4 linked regions of the Saccharomyces cerevisiae S288C genome follow. The protein of the gene in region 4 purifies or fractionates together with the protein of the main gene of each other region. This does not show direct contact. Each region holds a gene or a part of one and is shown on either strand. Other genes may lie near its edges. The genes, in order: GLO3, RET3, SEC21 and COP1.

The links.
Region 1: the proteins of COP1 (region 4) and GLO3 purify together in Saccharomyces cerevisiae (affinity purification with mass spectrometry; 4 studies listed by BioGRID). This does not show direct contact.
Region 2: the proteins of COP1 (region 4) and RET3 purify together in Saccharomyces cerevisiae (affinity purification with mass spectrometry, with the first as the bait; 5 studies listed by BioGRID). This does not show direct contact.
Region 3: the proteins of COP1 (region 4) and SEC21 purify together in Saccharomyces cerevisiae (affinity purification with mass spectrometry; 8 studies listed by BioGRID). This does not show direct contact.

The regions. Positions count from the first base shown.
Region 1 is NC_001137.3:401,948-406,944, reverse strand, and holds GLO3 (ADP-ribosylation factor GTPase-activating protein), read left to right. Parts: upstream 1-2,592; coding exon 2,593-4,074; downstream 4,075-4,997. Other genes in the region: casein kinase YCK3, read right to left, coding at 558-2,132; YER121W (uncharacterized protein), read right to left, coding at 4,226-4,570. UniProt on the Saccharomyces cerevisiae protein: GTPase-activating protein for the ADP ribosylation factor (ARF) family. Involved in retrograde vesicular transport from the Golgi to the endoplasmic reticulum.
Region 2 is NC_001148.4:532,915-536,569, forward strand, and holds RET3 (coatomer subunit zeta), read left to right. Parts: upstream 1-2,103; coding exon 2,104-2,673; downstream 2,674-3,655. Other genes in the region: mRNA-binding protein RRP12, read left to right, coding at 1-495; TAF3 (Taf3p), read right to left, coding at 728-1,789; RQC2 (Rqc2p), read right to left, coding at 2,906-3,655. UniProt on the Saccharomyces cerevisiae protein: The coatomer is a cytosolic protein complex that binds to dilysine motifs and reversibly associates with Golgi non-clathrin-coated vesicles, which further mediate biosynthetic protein transport from the ER, via the Golgi up to the trans Golgi network.
Region 3 is NC_001146.8:89,912-95,966, reverse strand, and holds SEC21 (coatomer subunit gamma), read right to left. Parts: upstream 3,974-6,055; coding exon 1,166-3,973; downstream 1-1,165. Other genes in the region: U2 snRNP complex subunit CUS2, read right to left, coding at 1-744; CCR4-NOT core subunit CAF40, read right to left, coding at 4,543-5,664. UniProt on the Saccharomyces cerevisiae protein: The coatomer is a cytosolic protein complex that binds to dilysine motifs and reversibly associates with Golgi non-clathrin-coated vesicles, which further mediate biosynthetic protein transport from the ER, via the Golgi up to the trans Golgi network.
Region 4 is NC_001136.10:193,514-200,643, forward strand, and holds COP1 (coatomer subunit alpha), read right to left. Parts: upstream 4,664-7,130; coding exon 1,058-4,663; downstream 1-1,057. Other genes in the region: LDB17 (Ldb17p), read left to right, coding at 1-712; YDL144C (uncharacterized protein), read right to left, coding at 5,149-6,219; chaperonin-containing T-complex subunit CCT4, read left to right, coding at 6,483-7,130. UniProt on the Saccharomyces cerevisiae protein: The coatomer is a cytosolic protein complex that binds to dilysine motifs and reversibly associates with Golgi non-clathrin-coated vesicles, which further mediate biosynthetic protein transport from the ER, via the Golgi up to the trans Golgi network.

The sequences.
Region 1 (4,997 bases), on a different chromosome or scaffold from region 4:
CACGATATGCATTCATTCTCAAGTTTGTAATTGTGCATTTTTTTATATATAGTCCCGCTCTCAAGTGAATTAGAAAAGTAAAGTATACACGCAAAACAAGGGCGTAAATAAAAGAAAACGAAAAAGCAACTAAATAAAAGCTTACATCCAAGTATCAAAGAAGTCGCTCACGGTTTCTCCAATTCTTGAACCTTGATTAATCATAAATTACATATTATTTTGGATATTCTTAAAAAAATGCTATAATAGTGCTTGAAGATAGATTTAGCACACCAAAAACATACCGGGATTAATATATATGTGCGTGTAGTCTTTTGATAAAGGAATATACAGAAGGAAAACGATTACGATGCTGACTATGTCTCATTTTCTTCTTTTTCCTGTTTCTTTACCCTCTCCGGAATTCAATTATTGTAGATGATAAAATAAAGGGTAACAGAGAGAAAGAGAAACAAAATAATACATTATTGGAAAGTCATAAATTGGGAAAGAGCGGCATAAGGAAACAGCCAATCAAAAAAAAAAAGGAAAAAGAGAAAAGTATAAAAATCGCTTTATCAACAGCAACAAAAACAGCAACAACAATATTTGTATATTTTAGAACAAAATGTATCATTCTCGTCATCAGAATAAGCATCATTTTCTTGTTCGTAATTTCGTTGACTTTGATAATTGATATTCTTATTTGCAAGGTTTGTGTAGTGGTTTGGTAAGTTGTGCTCATTATTACTTCTTTTAGGGTTAGCTTTAGAACTTGAATATGGTACAAATGGTGAATTTTGTGTATGACTGATGGAGTCGTACGTTTGACTTTGACTTTTAATTGGCCGTTGAAGATTTGAATGTGTTTCAGGAATATATTTACTATTGGGTTCGATTTTTTTCAAGACGTGTTGTTGTTTAGTAAAGCTCTGCGGGTTCGAAGAAATTCTGGATTTCGAATTGTCCTTGTTATAACTGTTTTGAGCTTGTTGCTTAGGTGTCGCAACTGGCGTTGTATTTCGTGTCTTTGAATTCGTATTCACATTGTTTCTTGCAGTATTGCCATTGACTCTTGGATTTGGATTTCCGTAACCATGCAAGTTAGCTCTTCTATTAATCTTGATATTCCAGCCTTTACCACCATTCAAATCCATCCAGTCATAGTGTCCATCATCCTTTAAGTCGTTTAATCTCAAAGCGTCATCCATTAACGAGATTAAATAGTCATAATCCGGATCTTCGTCGAACTTCAAGGAACGTGCATATTTTAAATATGTGGCAAACTGATAAGGAATAGCATTATTCAATAAAAGATCATCAGGATTCAATTTCTGTTTAGTCATACCAATCTTTTCATACTTCAGTTTGTTGTTTGGTGCTTTCAAACCTTGCCATGGCAAGGATCCCCTCAAGAAATAAAAAAAAACGTGACCTAGCGATTCTAAATCATCCCTACGTGACTGTTCTCTTCCAAAATGAGTATTAATAGACATATATCTGGCGGTACCGCTCAATGATTTTCGTTCACGGTATGGTATATGTTGTTTCGTTCTTGGATCTCTATATTGTTTTGCCATACCAAAGTCAACCATGTATATTAAATTGGGATCATTATTAGAAGAGGAGGCACATGATTTAATGACTTTTCCTTCAGGTGAAATTCTTTGATATTGAGAAATTAAAAAGTTATCGGGTTTAATATCGCGATAGATTAAGTCGTGATCATGAATTGCTCTAACTCTATCAATCATTTGCTTGGCAACCATACAGGTTGTTTTCACTGAAAATTTTCTACCACACCACTCAAAGAGATCTTCCAATGATGGCCCTAGTAAATCGATAATCAAGATGTTGTGCATACCTTCTTGACCAAAATAATAAGCATGGGGAATTCCAACGCAGCCATTCAATATCCTATAGGCTCTAAATTCGTCACGCAACTGGGGTGCGTCCGAATGTCGCGGTTCGAATTTAATTGCGACTGGCTCGTTCGCCATTATTATACTAGAGTCCCTCTTGCTACCGGTCTGCGCTTGACAAGAATGAAGAATGTTCTCTCCCTCAAATATTACTCCGAAAGACCCTTCGCCAATCTTAGGTCCTACAGCATAATGAATACCTACAATGTGTTGTGAAGATCGTTGGGACATCTTTCCTTATCGTCCTTTTACACTTTTTCTTCAGAATGAGATACCACTTTTGATTAGTGGACCGTAGCACGTATACCCTTAAATAGCAGACAATTCTTGCAAAACGGATTTCCTTCTTTTTTAAAAAACAGCAAATAATACCAGTACCTAGATGTTACGAATGCTGTTCCCCTGTTACTCTCTAAGCTGCCCTTTTCAATTCACCTATAGAATGTTTAAAATTTTACTTTCAATATTGGTATTATCTATGACACAAAAGGAAAAGTAACATCGTTTGGTCATTTTCGACGACACGGTAAAGTTTCGAAAAAAAAAAAAAAAAAAGAAAACAACTATTCTTCGTAAACACGATTTAGCTGGCATTTTATAAAAGGAGATCAAGGCGATAGCAAAGAAAGGGTATTTGTTAAGTACTTGTTGATCCGGTCTTCTTGAGCAATTTAGTATACACATAGCGACAATGAGTAACGATGAAGGAGAAACATTTGCCACGGAACAGACTACTCAACAAGTTTTTCAGAAGCTAGGTAGCAACATGGAAAATCGAGTTTGTTTTGATTGTGGTAACAAGAATCCTACTTGGACTTCGGTACCTTTTGGTGTGATGCTGTGTATTCAATGCTCTGCTGTGCATAGAAACATGGGTGTTCATATCACCTTTGTAAAGTCTTCTACATTAGATAAATGGACAATTAACAATTTAAGAAGGTTTAAGTTGGGTGGGAACCATAAGGCTCGTGATTTTTTCTTAAAGAACAATGGGAAACAGCTACTAAATACAGCAAATGTTGACGCGAAAACAAAATATACGAGCCCTGTTGCTAAGAAATATAAGATACATCTCGACAAGAAGGTTCAAAAGGATATGGAGTTATACCCATCAGAATTAGTCTTGAACGGTCAAGATTCTTCGGACTCACCGTTGGACACCGATTCAGACGCTTCCAGGTCGACTTCCAAAGAAAATAGTGTTGACGATTTTTTCTCTAATTGGCAAAAACCAAGCTCCAATTCCAGTTCTAAACTCAATGTAAATACAGGCTCTCTCGCCCCAAAAAACAACACCACAGGCAGCACACCCAAGACCACTGTCACTAAAACGAGAAGTTCCATCTTAACGGCTAGCAGAAAGAAACCGGTATTAAACTCGCAAGATAAAAAGAAACATTCAATTTTGTCTTCGTCAAGAAAGCCCACTAGACTAACCGCAAAGAAAGTCGACAAATCACAGGCAGAAGACTTGTTTGATCAATTTAAAAAAGAGGCTCAACAAGAAAAGGAGGACGAGTTCACTAATTCGTCTTCTAGCACCAAAATTAGACAAAATGATTACGATTCCCAATTTATGAATAACAGTAAAGGCAACAATAATAACAGTATAGATGATATTAATACCCAGCCTGATGAATTCAATGATTTTTTAAATGACACTTCAAACAGCTTCGACACAACTAGAAAAGAACAGCAAGATACTTTAACACCCAAGTTTGCCAAATTGGGATTTGGTATGACCATGAATGACGCCAATGATTTGGCAAAGCAACAAAAAGAATCTCAGAAAATAGCTCAGGGACCAAGATATACGGGCAGAATCGCGGAAAGGTACGGCACACAAAAAGCTATATCATCTGATCAATTATTTGGTCGTGGCTCATTTGATGAAGCAGCAAACAGGGAAGCGCATGACAAGTTGAAAACATTTGACAATGCTACATCAATTTCCTCTTCTTCATACTTTGGAGAAGATAAAGAAGTGGATGAATTTGGTAATCCCATCAATAGTAGTGGAAGTGGAGCAGGGAATTTTGATGGCCGTAATTCTAATAACGGTTTCATCGATTTTAATGCCTCCGCAGATGATGAATTGCAGATGTTGAGAGACGTTGTAGAACAGGGTGCTGAAAAACTCGGTAGTTATTTAAGGGACTACTTAAGAAAATAAGTTTAATTTTCTCTTTAATTGAATTTTTTTTTTTTCATTGTTATCATTGTTTTTTATTCTCATTTTTCATTATATGATAATTATATTTATGGTACATAGAAACGGTTGTATATGCATTGTACGTGCGTTTATTCTTATTCTTCATCCCCCCTTATCTTAGTTTAAGGTTTCTAAAATCGAAAGTTTCATGTGCGTATGAAGCGGTTGAAAATGCAGACGAGGTAGCATTTGGTTCATTAGCATTATAAACACTTTGCTTTAAAGAAGGTAAGTTATTTTCGACATCTCTGTTTCTAATTGCTTCATCGTCCACATAGGGAGAGTCTATACCCACTTTCCAAAACGAGTTCATTACTTGATTACCATATTCGTTAGAAACACTTGCATTTAAACTATCACTTGCCGCAAGGGCGTAGTAGTGCGCATCCTGTTGCATTTCTTCGCTCTTTTCCTCTGCTGGCCTTGAATTCTTGTCGTGCCAGCGCGATAAGCCCATGTTACTATATTGTCAATATGTGAGTCCCTCGTTCACTATGAGACCTAGCAAAAAACAAACTGAAAGTAGGTGGCTGTTTATGTATTCATTTATTTATGGACCTTTTAGGCGCGACCCCCTCGCAAGATCTTCGTTAATGTGCATCCAAGACCCTCCCCTCATTTAGTAGACCCCGCATTGTTATGGTTAATAACGGATAGTTATTTGCCCAAGATAGCGCCTACTACACTAGGGAAACCGAACATGAATAAATTAAACAAGTAATATGTTACAACAGTGGTATAGTTATCGATTATTCTCCTATTTAAAAAATAAAACATATAAAAAAGTTAGGAAAGTATGATCTTTTAGTTCCTTGTTCTAGTATTGTAAAGGCTACAGAAGGAAACAATAAAAAAAGATTGTAGAAAAACAAAGTAAAATAAAG
Region 2 (3,655 bases), on a different chromosome or scaffold from region 4:
AATGGATCAGATCAGGAGGAAAATGTTGCTGGTGGCAAAATGAAGAATGGGGCAAAGCAATTTATTGTAGAATCCGGTGACAACCCACTAGATTTGTTAGATTCTCAAACACTAGCTCATATATCATCTACCAGACCAAAGAAATTCAATAAGAATCAAAATAGAGCAAGGTTTAATGATGATGCGTTTAACTTTGACTCAGAAGGAAAACTCGTTGTCAAGGGGCAACCTAAACCCTCTACTAATGTAGACGATCCATTGAGTGCTGTGACAAGCGGAATCAATGCGTATCTAGAGGCTGTGAAAAGTGGTCCTGTAAGAGGTCAAAGAAACAAGCTGAAATTCAGGAAAAATGGAAAGGACTCTGATGAATTTGGCGATGATGATGATGGTGAAAAGGATAGTAGGCTAATGAGAGGAAGAGTAAATCAAGGTAACAAGATTGGCAAACATAATAAGAAAGGTCCAAAGTTCAAATCTAGAAAAAAATTATAGAAGATTGAAACTGAGCAATATGGCTAATTACACACCTGGAGAAAAAATCAGATATGTATATATAAGAATATTATAATACTGTATATTAAAAATGATTAAAATAAAGAAAAAAATGAATCGGGCGTTTAATTGCTTATTATCTTGAAGAAGCGAAAGTACACTATATAGTAATAATGTGAGGTTAATTAAATATGGATGAGATAATGACGAAAGAAAATGCAGAAATGTCGTTTTAAAAGTAACCCCCATAATCTAGTGAGGTTCGACGTTGAAATGTGCTGTCCATATCTTCCTGCTCTGCCCATTTAGTATCAACATTTGAGTCGAATTGAAACATTGATATGTCACGGTCATCACCATGAGGAGACTCTGTTAAACTTTTATTGTTCTCTTTAAAACTTTCCTCATTGTTATTTTCTTGAGACTTTTGGTTAGGGCCTTCCACTTCGCCAAGTGATTCAAGCTCCTCATCCTCAAATGAAAGAGTTATATTTTCTAACCTATTTTCTTTTCTCATTATCGGCAGTTTGCTAGTTACAAATGGATTTTCTTGGATCTCTGTTAAGGCATCCTCATCTCTTGGGGTCATCGCCGAAGGCATCCTATCTTCGTTTGTTATGGTAGTGTGGTGATGGCGGCTTAGAATGGAAGATTTATAGCCTGCAATATGTGGTAAAGCCGGTACATTTTGAGATTCTTTTTTGGAAGCTCTTTCAATCATGTTTATACGTTGTCTAGCAATGACTAATTTGATCCAATCATCTAATCCATTATTATTTATTAGATCTTCTATCAACTCTGTTTTTCTATTCTTTGTTTCTAATTTCTGTTTCGCACCCTTGTTTTGCAGTAATTGATTGAGATAGTCAGGTATTGCTGACAAAGGATCAGATTCTTTTTCCTCACTTTGTAGTAATTCTACTGTGGGTAAGGCAGTTATTCGCGCGTCGGTCAATTGAGTACTATAAATACACCAGTCCTTGAACTTTTCCATTCCTCGTGAACTTGATAATTCGGAGTTTTCATCATAGACATCCAGAACGTTCGTAGGCTTAACAATACCTAGATTTTCCAGAGCCAGAGTTATATCTTGTAAAGCAATTGTATCGTCCTGATCACATCTTGCCTGAGCGATAGAACTGACCTCTGATGCTAACAAACTCAAGAATTTTGCATAGAGATCGGTCATGACATCCACCAGACTGGGCCTTGCCCTGTCAAATCCTTGTGCCTTCAATAATTGGAGAATAGATATGCGTAGTAGAGCAAAATAGAAGTCATTATTTGTAGTCATAGCAGAGGAACTCTATTGACCCAAAGATATCGCTGTTTTCCGCTAGTAGGTGATTTGGAATTGCTCAGGAAGCTACTTCAAGTGTTATATTAGCATACCTTCATCATGCAATATGAAATTACTGAAAAAAAAAACTAAAGCATCGCGAGCTTACCCGTTTCGCCACTTCTGTCAAGTGAAAAAACACGTTTGCATTGTTTAGGCTACAAGGTGTGGAATATCGAAGTTATTGCTAGACAGAAGTTCTTTAGGCATTTAGGTTTTGTTTGTGAGCTGGCTTGCTAATTTTGAGTACTGTGCATCATTGTTCCAGGATGTCTTCTTTATCGCTATATACTGTTCAGGCTGTTTTAATACTAGATCAGCAAGGAGAACGAATTTATGCAAAGTATTATCAACCTCCTCATAGATCTGATGAAGGACACCAATTGCTCTTCAATTCGGTGAAGAAGCAAAAAGAGTTTGAGAAACAACTATACCGTAAGACTCACAAGCAAGATTCGGAGATTTTAATCTTCGAGGATCATTTAGTCCTTTACAAAGAATACATTGATATCACGATATATTTAGTTGCTTCGCTGGAAGAGAATGAAATTGTTCTTCAGCAAGGATTTTCAGCAATCAGAGGAGCTTTGGATTTGATTTTGAACTCAGGAATGGACAAAAAAAACATCCAAGAAAACTATGATATGGTTTTATTAGCTATTGATGAAACCATTGATAATGGTGTTATCCTCGAAACTGACTCTAACACTATTGCATCCAGAGTTTCTAAACCACCTACGAACGAACCCCAAATGGCATTAGATTTGGATAAGGGTTTCTTAGGCGCGTGGGGTTTCGCAAAGAGCAAGTTTCAAGAAAGGTTACAGCAAGGCTTATGATCACAAGGCAAAGCGGATAGAAGAAAATTTTAGCTGGTCTTATATGGTATATATGCAGTGTCTTACTTTCTCCCTTCCATATATATGTATCTACTTATATATATAAGTATATGTTGCTCATTTAGAAATGATTGTCACCTCATGCTAATCATTTTATTCTTCTCGTTGGTCTGTGATGAAAAATAATGAAAAAATTATAATTGCTGTCTATTTTCTTTTCATCTCATATGATTTAGCGTTTTTTTTTGCCCTTCTTCGAAGAGTTACCACCGTTCTTGGTGGATTTCTGCCCAGCGATTGTTACTTTTAACTTGTCGACACAGAGCAGAAGAACCAAGTCCTGTTCCTTCAAGCCTTTAATCATTTCATGTTCTTGGGGCCAATCCATTTCGTTGTCAGTTGAAGAACCGTCTAGTGGTCTACTCTTGAAATAATGTAAAATTTCAGTTAAAGTCTTAGTTTTCTTCGCACTTCCCGGTTGTATTTTGACTTTGTATTTATATTTCAAAAGCGCAGGCCAGGGGGCAAATACTGGTATAATATCATCAACCACATCGCCCTTATCGAGAGATGGTTTTAATTCGGACTTGTGTTTATCATAGTTCACTCTTGCTTTCTCTTTTTTGGTGAATTTTAAAGCCTGTAGTCTTCTTTGTTTCTCGCGTTTATTCTTTCTATCTTCTCTAACTTCTCGCTTCATTATTTCTTCTTTCTTCCTTTGTTGCTGCTTTTCGATACCCTTCAAAGTACCCAAGGCCTCCAAACGCAAGAGACGTTCAGTTTCATCCTGGTCGGCGTATTTCTTTTGAATTTTCTTCAATTTTCCTCTTTTACCACGGACGTTACTGTTTATGTTTTCGATTAAAGATATCGGAACACCTGGTTCATCAAGGATACGCTGCGTACTGCTATTGTCATTTTTGGCTTTAGCATTTCCAGAATCAGAGTCGGTATCGGATGATATGGTGCAATGCTTTTCGAT
Region 3 (6,055 bases), on a different chromosome or scaffold from region 4:
CATGATTTTGCAACATTGCAATGCAACTTTATTGTTCTTAAAGACGACCGTCGCTTCCCCCTTATTGGGAGATACAGATATACTGTCTACTTGACCTATCTCTTCACAGCCTTCCAAAAGATCTTCCTGAATATCATTTATATCATCATTTGTGTATGATTTGTAAATATTGAATACGTTGGCAAATATCACCGTTCGATCAGCTTTTGCTAGGCTTTCATCGTCATTGTAATCTATTACTTCCCCCTCCCCTTCAGACTTCGCTTTTTTTAGCCTCTTTATTGGAGGCTCAGGTCCGTTGAACTCCTTTAAATCATTTTCTTTCCCGTGCATATTGTCACCTTCCTTGTTTTGAAATTGGGCTCTTTCGACCCTGATCTGTTTTCCCAGGAAGATCGACTCGTTCATCATTTCGATTGCTAATGTAACACTTTCTTCCTTGGAATAAGTGATCAAGGCATCCCCTTTGAAAGCGCCTTTATCATTCACATATAGCTTGCAAAGGGGTTCCCCATCTCGATTGGTTCTTATCATTCCATACTTGCAAAACTGCTCAGTGAGTCCTTCTTTCGTTGTTTTGTCTGTGGGAAGACCAGAAATATATATTGAAGTATTTTTTGAGGCATTATTATATTCAAGCTCTCTTTTCTGAAGATTACTCTCTTTTAACTGTTTCCTTCTAAGCAATTCTTCTTTTTTCAATTTTTTCAAATGACCTTTCAATTCCAATTCATCAGCATCCATCGCTGTCAAACAGTAATGTTGGTAACGGAATACAGTGAAAAGTGTAGTGCGTTCAAGGGTCTGCAGCCTTTTACAATATGCCTGGTCAGACTAGTGCTTTTTTTTTGTTTTTTTTCTTCTTCTTCTTTCATCAATTGCATAATGTCAACTTTTTTCTGCCCTGTTGTCCTGTTTCTTCCATTTCGTTTTCTCTTGTCAAACTATTATAGTATTTTTCTTTAAAAATTTTGTTTATACAAAGATTACATAATTTATTCTTCGTGTGGTGATGATCCGTCATATTCTATCCGTGATTTTTTTGGTTTATTATTGTTCTTGCTGTTCATTCCCTTATTTGCATGCACGCTTGCTAAAGCTGACGCATTTCTTTTAATACTATTGATAACAAAAGAAGGGATTAACTGAAATAAAATTTCACAGCTTACTGCATTAGACCATTCACCAGATCAGAGCATAATAAGCTGTCTTCACCTTTACCATGAACTTTCAAAGCAAGACCTTTCGAACTCTTGATCATCTTAATCTGTAGGGCTACTTTAGATCCAGTTAAAGCACTCTTACCAAATAATTTCAAGGTGTGGGAGTTTGAATCACTTGGAGCAAATTGGGTACTTTCCACCGGTAAGCAGCTACTGTTCAAAATAATCTTATCTACTACTTCTTGTATGGATAAATCTTCTTGAATGTTGAAAACAGCAACTTCTTCGCATGGCAACTCATCAAATGTAGCGGAGAAGTTACCAGTGAAAGAACTCTTAACATAATCACCAGCATTCAAGAAAATCGAGTCAATTTCATATTCATCTTGGAAACCTTCATCACCATCAAATGGCTCATTAGTGTCAGGGTTTATTTCTTTTGTAGTGAATGTTAAGTTGTTCAAGAAACCTTCCATTACAATTTCATCAAGTTTTTTGAATGCAACGTAACAAGCTGCTTCCTCGGATGGTAATAATCTGTCCACTTGTAGGGTGAATAGCTCTTCTAATTCAGCTTCATCAGAAATTTCAGGGGTACAGACTACAGAAACATTGTCTAGGGCAATATCCGTCAGAGTATTCGTAATATTAAATTGTAAAACAACATTGTCTTTGAAGAGATGTTTGACACCACGTACAACGAATTCTGCTTCTGGCTCAGTTAATGAGATAGCCCTAGAACTATTTACTAATTGACCAAATGGTTTAATTTGTTCAATGGATAGCAATTCGTCAGCGTACTTAGTAGCTAGTAGATCTTCTTGGTGGTCGTCCAAGTTTGGACCAGCAAATGAATTAGCGTCAGCTCTTTTTTCTGGAACACTCTCTGCCTCTGGTGTAGTATCCAAAGTGGTTTCAGACTTTTGATTGAAAATTTGTTCTTGCTTTCTCTTCAGATTTATTGCCTTCATTTCATCCTCAGTAAACTTACGAACTTGATTCACATCAAATGCAGTTGCAAATGAATCAGTATTTGAGGAAATGTAAGAACTTAATTTTGACTCTAATGATGGAATATCGTAAAAATATTTGGATTCGATTAGATTTTGTGCTATAACATCATCTTTATTCCTAGCCGAATCAATGAATTCTAGTGCAATGGTGGCTCTGTCTCTGACTTCATCGTCTTTATCATTAGCGATTCTCTTTAACAAACTTATGATTGACTCATATAAGGTAGGATCGTTCTTCGTCAAAGCAAACTTAGATAAAGCTACAACGGCAGCAGATCTAATAATAGAATTTTCCAACACCACTCTGTTATAAATATGTCTAACATATAATGATGGATTTGGGGCAGATGGACCTTCTTTACCCAAAAGATGTAGTATTCTCACTAGTATTTCGTTGAATTCACAATCCTCGATGAAATCACACAAGTTTTCTAAGGCGAGTTCTTTAGACTGTGGAACAAATGAAACAATATCGATTAATGCTTCGACAATACTGTTTTTAAATTTGAATCCACCTTCACTATTTTTCAAAACATCGATTAAGAAGTTCAAAATTGACTTCCATTCCTGTGGGAAGTTCAAAGACAACGTACGAACGGCGTCAATAATAATGATCTTAAAGTCATCACTGACATCATGGATAAAATTAGTAATAGTCGAAATCAGAGATGAAATATTTTTGGAAGTTCCTGTCTTCAATAAAGTGGTGATTGCATAAGTAGAAATGTTTCTATTAGAATCATTAATTAAAGATTCTAGTTCAGGATTACAAACAACAATCTTTTCTGGTGAAACCATGGATATTCTATTTAAGATTCTCAATGCAGCGAATCTAGAAGAAACACGAGGAACGGTCAGTAAGGACTGTAAAGCACTGATAGCTGCCGCATATAACTCGGGAGCCACTAAGCGGGAATTGCGAGTAGCGAAAGAAGTAATCAATTTCGCCGTTTCCAACTGAACAGATTCGAACTTGTTGGATAGCCAATCAGACAAAAGTGGCCTGAATTGACTAAATAATTGAGGATCCCTATAAATCAAATCGTTGACAATCTTGACCAATTCTACCTTGGCCAATTGATTTTTCATAGAATTGTTTTCAGAGAAATGTCTAACCAATTTTAGTAACGCCATTTTATCAGTTTTCTTCAGTTGATAAAGCAACCCAAGAGCATGATATTGAGAAATATAAGTGGAGTTTGGATAATATTCGCTATTACCGTGTTGATTTGGAAATTGTTTCAAATCCAAAACAGCTTCTTGAGTTTCATTGGTGAATCTTCTGATAGTGACTTCTGAAATGGGCAGCAAATGATAAGAAGTACATAATGCTGCTGAGGATATTGAAGGATGTCTACTTACCACGGCACTTTTTAATAACCTTTCAGCGGAAAAAGCAGTAGATTCATCCAAGACATAAGTCAGCGATCTAATAGCGTCAGGCTTAATCAAATCGGAACCGTTTTGAACGTCCTTCATGATTGAAGAGGTTGCCATCAACACATCCTCCGAAATGCCACTCAATTCCTTGATTGCCAAATAAACAGCCTGCCTTAAAGGATCGTTCTGGTGTTGAAATAATTTGGAGATAGAGAAAAATAATGCAGTTGCTTCATTCTGTGGGAAGGTTTCGCCCTGGGCCAAGAGTCTCAGCAAGCGAGAAATCAATAAACGACATCTCTTGGAATTGACAGGTGATTCGTTAAACGTGTTCATACAATCCTGATAAATGGTCATTTTATCAGGTAAATCGCCCGAGGTCGAGTTTTCAAACTTTTTGTAAGTATGTGCAGACATGTTGATTCGCTCTGTGATTTAGTATCGCTTCTTGGCTTTTGTCCTATCCGTATTTGTTTAGTTATTTTGTATTATACGTCGTTCTGTAATGTTTGCGGGCTCACCTGGATGAAGCTAAGAACAAAAAAACGGGTTTAGCAGAATAACTGAAGAAGTACGTTGGTAATGAGCACACACAATTCCTCCCTTGCACTTATTTGTAAAGAATTGTGTTCTCAACAATGCAACTCGTATCCAAAAAAACGCCTATGTATATTTCATTGATCTTGACGAAACCTTTAGATTTCGAAAAAAATAGAATCGTGGTTCGTGGCGTCGTAGTGAATGACACAAGGGGTACATTCCGGGTGATAGGATGAAAAATGGGTAATAGTAATAGTACAGAAGAACCTTCTGGCACTTAACTTAAACCATTCTGAAATATGAGTGGACTTTATACATTTCATGCATATAAATATAACTATACAAAATTAGGAGAGGTGAGGAAGTGAAACTAAAACAAAAAGGCAAGGTTAAAACAATACAGGAAAATAGAAAGAGAAAAACAGTAATATATCTATGGGGATGCATCATGAGGTTTCTTCGTTTAATGTCAGTAGCAATTGTGCCAGACATCTCTTGGACCCGACGTCGTCTCTTAGTACTTCCGTAAAAGTGTTATCTCTCAGTTTGGCAGGTAAGACTATTTTCAATAGCCTGCGTGCTTCGAGATCGTCGCTTAATCTTAAGTAGCATCTAATGATATGTTTCAGTAGTCGTCCCGGTGGTGTGCTCACGGTCAAGTGCTCAACCATATCTTTTAAGACATTAGTTACGGCGTAGAACCTTTCCAAGGTGGCACAGATGTATTGCAATCCAACGTCATCTAGTAGGATTTTCTGTAAAATGAAAATGGCGACTGTCTTGGAAAGCTCAGAAGAAGATTCCATGATCCTTAGGCATAACGGCACGATATCGGTTCTTAGCAAAAACGTTATTACGTCTTGTGAGTCATTTTTGACCAATGCGCCTATCACACCTAATGAAGTCAATCTCAAGTACTCAAAAGTTCTTTGCCTGGAGGTAGTATTTAGGAAGGGGAAAAGAAAGAGAGGAATATGGGCCTGTAAAAAGAGATGTTTTGTCTCTGGGTGAGATGCAACACACTGTAGAAGAACTAGAGCGTTGCATACACGATTTGATAGATTGTTAGAGAGCATCTGAGGTTGCAGCATGGGATATACGGAAATGATTTCGTTCAGCAATGAGGTCATTACACCAAAGGAAGACCAAAGCACAACGGCAAGGTCATCAAACTGTTCTCTTTTGCGACCTAATTCAAGCAGTGCTTGTTCCTTTTGAGGGCCGTAGGTCAATTGACAAATCCAGTGGTATACATTGGGATCATCTAGAGCATGCACTGCGCCTCTATTATTGACCATGTTGGGATTGTTTCGAGTTGCGTTAGCATCGTTACCGCCGTTATTGCCGTTATTGCCGTTGTTCTCGCCATTTTCATTGCTATTATTATTATTCGGAGTATTGCCCATTAGCATGGGGCCTCCACTTGGAATTTGTTGATTCATGCCTGGACCCATTGAAGTTGGAACCCCAGGCATGGACATAGATCCTGGATTATTAGTTGAAGGACCACCACCACCCATGTTCACGCCTGCTCCATTGCCATATATTGGCTTTTGAGCGGAAAACATATTAACTTATTCAGAGGATGTTCAGTTGCTGTCGTTGTTGCTTCAGGAACAAAGTTTAATCTCGTCAAGATCAGCAGAAACACACACACTCGCAAATTTGTCAAAACTTGGGAGTTTTAAAAGATGAACGGTTTCTAACTTGCGTACTCTACGTCTTTGCAATCCCTTTACAATGTCTTCTATGCGTAAATTACTTTAAATTTGGATTTTGCCTCTTGCTGCTCGCAGCAAAATTCTCAGCATGTTGAGGTGTGTGGGTGGAGTTTTTCCTCTCCTGCTAGTAATACTTATGCAAGAATCTACGTCTAATGAGGTGCTCACGTTTTGCAATGATGATATAAATAGGGACAGTAATCTAATATAGACAAGTGGGCGTAATAGGGTTTTCTTC
Region 4 (7,130 bases):
GTTTGCCAAGGAGTACGACATTGAGAACAAGGTCTATAAGTATTTGATCAATGGGTCTGTCTCAAGATGTTTTACGGAGCTATTATTACTGAAATTCAATAGGGCATCGGACCCTCCGTTACAAATTATGATGTGCAAAATTATTTATCTTATCTTGACACCAAGAGGAGACTACTCTCCGATGAATTTCTTTTATACAAACGACTTACGTGTTCTTATCGATGTATTAATCAGAGAACTACAGAATATCAGTGAGGATGAAGAGGTATTGAGAAACACCCTTCTAAGGGTTCTGATTCCGCTATTAAAGAATACACAATTATCCAAAACACATTATAGAAAGGATGATTTGAATAAACTATTAAACTACTTGTCGACTTTAGATAATATATGCGTTGACAGTCCAGCGTTGCACGAGCATCAAGTTACAGTGGCCTTATCTCGGAAGTGTCTTCAACAAATTCCTTGGTTAGAGACACCTTCAACGCCTTCAGATGGAGGTTCATCGGTCTCTAGTAATAACACTAGTAGAAACTCTAGCATTGTTGCATTGGGGACGCCCGACAATCAAAATATCTTGGCTCGTAAAGGCCATCTTTATAGTAATCGTGAATTAGATGTTTCTGCAGAATCTTTGACTAAAAGAAAGGCTAAAGCTCCGCCTCCGCCTCCTCCTCCTCCTCCATCAAGAAAATGTGGAACTCCAAAATAAGTAAAGCATTATTTCTTCTTGCATTAATGTGGTTCTTCCGACCATTTCTTCTTCTACTCACTGCAGTATCTAATGACACATTGTACTTTTTATATACAAATGCAACAATCGTAACTATAAAACTAAAGTTCGGGTTGCTTCCGAATACATGCTGGCAGAATTTCAGGTTGTGTGTCACTTGTTAAAATAGGCGATATTTTTTATTTTAGAAGTTGTATATAACTGTTAATTACATAGTCAGTTTTTTTTTTTCACTATCATATTGTTTAGATTAAAAGGACTTGTCACATGAAATTTAGGTCGAGCAGAATACAATCCCGAGAAAATCAATAGGCAAAATAGCATTTATACACGTATTCTTAATCCGGATGCAGGTGCACCGATCTTAGAAATCATAGCAATTCTATCTATTTTATCTTTTTCCGTGATAACGTATTTACTACCTGTTAATGGGTCAGAAACGGAAGGTGTATCTTCATAAATTGGTTTGTAGGTGGCTGCACAAATATCGAATTTAGCATAAGGATCAAAGTCAATTGGAATGGCGTCACTGGCCATTGAGTCGGCTTTGTTTTTGATTTTACGTGCTTGTTCTGCACGAGGACCAGAAGAAATAATCTTTAAAAATTCACCGGCAAAATATGAGGCCTGTAAGAAATTTTTGTGTTTGAAATGTTGGGACATAGCCACTTGTAAAGCATTGGTACGATGAATTGGGGATAGTTTTGCCTTTGTAAAGTATGCAGCTAGCTCAAGCATGCGTACAGTATTTCCCTCCTTTAATGAGCGGCGTTCCAATTCAATGGATAAACCTAATATATACTCCCTAGCAGTTTCCAGTATCTTGTGTGCTAATTTTTCATCTTCAGCATCATCGACCATTAATAGCGTAATACGGTAGATAGCTTCTCTGAAGCATTCGATTGCAATATCTGGTTTGTTTAGTTTAAAGTTTTTGTAACCCTCATTCATTTTTTCATTAACGACATCAAGACCTGGCACGTAAGGAAGAATTTGATCTTCACTTACGGTATCATCATACGCTCTGACATAACCTAATTGAGCAGGAAGTTCACAGGGCGTACTAGGAATGTATGTTCTACAACCCTCATAAATGTTGGTAAAATATTTCTTCAATGGCTCCAGCTTGACTACACCCACTTGCTTGCTCAAGGCTTGAACAGCGGCATCAAAGGCACCAGCGGCAACTAGGACAGCAGGCAGTTTAGAATTCTTGATCCAAATGGCTGTTTCAACTTCCTGTGCTGGAGAGGTAATTTCGCCTTGCTCAACTTCTTCAGGTAACTCTTCTCCCACATCCAAATCTTCGTCACCCAAATCCCAGGCACCTTCGTCTTCACCAATATCCTCATCGTTAAAGTTTTCTTCGCCTAGTGGTTCTTCTTGCTCTTGAGTGGTGTTTACTGCTGGAGTTTCATCGTCTATAGTCAAATCGTCAATTTGACCTAAAACAGCCTTTTCAAAGTAAGATAGTTCAGCCTCTTTTAATGGCCATTTTTCAAGTGGCTTTGAGATCACTGGTCTTTGAACGAAGTTGGAGGCATCCATCTGGTCTGGTAAAGTAACATCTTGTTCATCAACTTCAGCTTGCTCCAAGAAAGCAGAAGCAGCCGCTTCATCTCCGTTAGCCTTTGCTACGGCATAAGCTAATGGTAAAGAGCCGCCCTCTGCAAAAATGCTAGATCTTTCCTTGGTTGAATTGTTGTAAAAGGTGTTTAATAGCATACTTCCAAAGTCTTCACGAGTCTGAGCGATATTTTGCATTTTAGATAGTTTGTTAACGTCACCTGTAACTAAATACAGGAAGGAAAGTTTGTCAAAAGAATGTTGAGTTTGATAAATCATTTCAGCTAAGCTGGCATTACCTTGTGCCAAGGCTTCTTGGATTAATCTTTCCCAAGTACTAGAATCATTCAGTTTTTTGGCTTCATCTAAGGCAACATCCAAATTACCGTATTCCAAAGCTAAATCAAAACGGATATGTGGGTCTTGAACGAATTGTAAAGCAATTTCTGGGTAACCTGACTTCTGCAGATAGGAAATGATATTCTGGCCAACCAAATTAGAATCTTTTATCAGACGTAAAACTTCTGGGAAATTTTTGTTAACCAGGGCCTTTTTGAAGCGATATTCTGTAGGATCAATGGTTAAAATTTCAATCTCACCTTCACGGTTCAAGCAGTACACTAATTTTCCCTGAACTTTTGTGATATATAAAGTTTTCTCCAAAGTTTTAATAATACCTCTATCCCCGTTCAATAGTGAGTACCTTATATGATTTAAAGTTGAATAAATTAATACACCAGTTTCATCCCAAGCGGCACTTTTGATTCTAATCGTTTCATGCATAGAATTAATCAATTCTAGCTTTTTGGTAGCCAAAGTTATGGTGTGCTTACTCATCAATGCAACATATTGACCATCTAAGGACCACGAAACGTACTTGACGTTTTTAACAGCCAATTGGGATACTTTTTTGCCCTGTTGGACATCATAAAGAATAACTTCTCTGGGGTGTATGACCAAAACAGATCCAGGACCTGCAGCTACAATAGTTCTTACTGTTTCCTCTACTTTGATATTTCTTGTAACTTTGTTTTCGAGAGAGCGAACTTCAACAGATTCAGTGTTCTTGTTGTAAACAACAAATCTATTACGACCAACAAAAGTAGCAAAATTACCTGTATCTTGGGTGACACTTGTTGGCTCCACAGCTCCAACTGGTTGTTTTGGTAAAATAACGAGAGCAAATTTGCCATTAGCTTCATTAACCAAAACTGAATGTTGGGAGGGATTGTACGATATACTTCTGAATGCATCCCAAGGTTGACCAATACCCTTTAAGGACGCATAAGGTAATGAAGCGACTCTTTTCTGGAAATTGAAACTTTGGATTTGCTTTTCCGCATTGACAAAAAACAACTGGTTTTGATGGATAAAGCTGCATGGTCTTTCGCGATCGAGCTTGAAAACCATAATACCAGAATCGTGAGCTGCACCAAATAGATTGATATGAGGATGTGCTGCAATCAACCAAAATCTATCGTTTTCTCTTTTGAATTGCTTTACTGGAGTTCTCTTGTCAAGATCCCAAACCCTTAGCGTTTTGTCTTCACCGACAGAAATGATCAAGTTTTGATGTGGGTGAAAGATAACACTATCAACATTGTTAGTGTGACCTCTGCAAGTATCAACTTCCCAAGCTTTCGTAGCACTCATTCTCCATAATTTAACTTGACGGTCGTCACTGCCGGAGACAATCAATGGTAAAGTTGGATGGAAAGAGGCCCAGTTGACACCTCTTGTGTGACCCTCTAGAATAAACTTGACAACACAGTCACCAAGAGAGCCATCCAATAGATTTTGTTGTGCACTCATTTGCTCCTCAAATGAACTAGTACCAGGAGCGGAGTGTCTTTTCCTTAAACCGGAAATATCCCAAATTCTGATGGTTTCATCCAGAGAAGCGGAAACGATCAGGTCATCGGTTGGATGAAATTGAGCACACATGACAAAATGATTGTGGCCGGTCAAACATGCAATTTCCTTACGGTTTTGCCAGTTCCAGATTCTTATGGTCTGGTCATCAGAAGCAGATATGATCCAAGGCAGCTCACGGTGGAAAAACACGGTACGGACATAATCCAAATGCCCAGTTAAGGTGTATAGACATTTGTTAGTATCTAAGGACCAAACTTTAATGGTATAGTCGTCACCTGCCGAAACAAAAATCGGTTGGGTTGGATGGAAATCTAGCCCACGAACAGGGCCCTCGTGGTCTTCAAATCTGTGAAGTAGTGTTCCCATCCTGTAATCCCATAATTGAATAGTAGAGGAAAACAAAGCCACCAAAACCCAAGGTCTGGAGGGGTGGAAGGCAATGCCCTTGGCCCTAGTGGACTTTGATTCAAATTTAGTTAACATCTTCATCTTGATCCAGTAATGAAATGAACAAAGACACTACAGAAGAAAAAAAGTATACTGATTTCAGGTTAAATAAACCGCGAATTTGTAAACAGGTATGATAATGTTTTTATTCAAAAGTGTAAAGGGAAGATAAAATAAAAAGAAAAAACTTTATATCTTAAGCAAAGAAGGGGGTAAGTAACAAATGTTTGGAAAATCCTGCTGGTTTCGCCAATTCTATGATTTACCTAATTGCAATGCCTCTTCAAACAAGTTTGTGGTCCCTGTATGCTACTGAATCGAGGCTCAATCGTCACAGTCTCGAAGACGGATCTGTTATTTATTCAAGTTGGCAAATTGTCGATTTCGTTTCGTGTTGTCGAAATTTTCGGTCGCTCTGTACGTCGTATAAATGCTGACAATAAGAATAATAGTTAAGAGTACATACTAAATTATGTGTTACAATATACTAGATGAAGGCTCGTCAACGAGGCAAGCAATGGTTGGAACTACTCGTCCACAAGAGTGGCAGTTTTTTCGTCGAACTTCAATAGGCCTTTCCGCTCCTTTAGTTTGGCCTGTACTAGCACAAGTAGGTTGTATAAGATAGAAAGAGTGGGTGTAGCGACGCCGTTTCTTTTCGCGATTCTTATGGGGTTGCCTAGGATGACTTCTAGCTCCATCAATTGGCCCTTCTCGCAGTCCACGCACATGGATGGCTTGAACACCTTTTTCCTGGTAATCTCTGTAAACATCGTTATGAACTCCTCTTCGATAATGATGCCTTCACTCGCCGCAATGGCGATGATCTCCCTCATGGCAGGGTGGAACACTTCAATTTCTGTGCTCTTCTTGTTAACCCCAAACTCCAGGCAACGCGGAACGTCTAGCCCCACAAGTGCCGTGGATGTGTTGATAGCTGCATTGTAGAGCAACTTCTTCCACCGAGAGTAACGGACCCTAGGGTCAAATTCGACAAAGTTTTGCCCCTCGTTGCTGTACATCCTGACGAAGTCGTTGGCAGCCTGGATAGCAGCAGCGTCCTGTGGATCAAAAGCTCCACACGATAAGTGGTCCTGGCCCACTTGACTGATATGGCCTGACCCGATCTTAGTGGATCCGATTAACTGGATGCCAGAAAGCACCGTGTAACGATACTGCTCTCTGGGAAATTCCGCCCATATCTCCTTCTCAATATCGATTCCGTTCTGTACCAGTAAAATGTGTGTCGTCAATTGCGGCCCATGTAGCTCTTTATTCTTCTCAAGCACAGGTCTGATGATGTTGGACACCCTTGAATTAACGGGCCCATCTATGATGTTCTTGGTAGTCACTACAATATAGTTGTATCCTTGGTTGTCTGCGGCAGAAGCAGCGTCCTCGACGCTGCTGTAAATATGGTGGGGTCTCCAACCTTCTAACCGGCCATAGTCACATGATTCGATTGTGTAGCCATGCTTCAATACCCTATCGTAGTCAGATCTGACTACCAAGGAAACGTCGCTCTCCTTCTTAAGCCACAACGAAAGCGCAGTAATGACCCCAACGCCACCTGCCCCGATAACTAGTATTCTAGACATTTTCGACATTAGCTTATGCCAACTTGTATCCTGGCACCGGGACTGTAGTTTATGAGGTATATCAATATGTCCTAATTAAGGCTATATAATTTGGTATTACTATCACTTGCCACGGGGAAACTGAAATTTTTTTCGTTTCGCCACCAAGAAAGGCTAATTGAATACAGTTCAAGAGGTTGATATAGCTAAGTGGGCATGAAGGTTATGAATTGTAATTGGAGGTGCGGCAAGTGTGCAAGACGGGTAAAGGAGAGTATAGAACGATGTCTGCTAAAGTTCCATCTAACGCCACGTTTAAGAACAAGGAAAAACCTCAAGAGGTTCGCAAAGCCAACATCATCGCTGCACGTTCTGTTGCAGATGCCATCCGTACTTCATTGGGTCCCAAGGGTATGGACAAGATGATTAAGACATCTCGTGGAGAAATCATCATCTCTAATGATGGCCACACCATTCTAAAACAGATGGCCATTCTGCATCCGGTGGCCAGAATGCTAGTAGAGGTTTCTGCCGCGCAGGACTCGGAAGCCGGTGATGGTACCACTTCTGTGGTGATCTTGACCGGAGCTCTATTGGGTGCTGCTGAGAGGCTGTTAAACAAGGGCATCCATCCAACCATCATTGCGGACTCCTTTCAAAGTGCTGCGAAGAGATCTGTCGATATTCTTTTAGAAATGTGCCATAAGGTTTCGTTGAGCGATAGAGAACAGCTGGTTCGTGCTGCATCCACTTCTTTGAGTTCCAAGATTGTGTCTCAATACTCTTCGTTTTTGGCGCCCTTGGCAGTGGACTCCGTATTGAAGATATCTGATGAAAACTCTAAGAATGTTGACCTGAACGATATCAGACTGGTCAAAAAAGTTGGTGGTACCATTGATGACACAGAAATGATAGATGGTGTGGTCTTGACA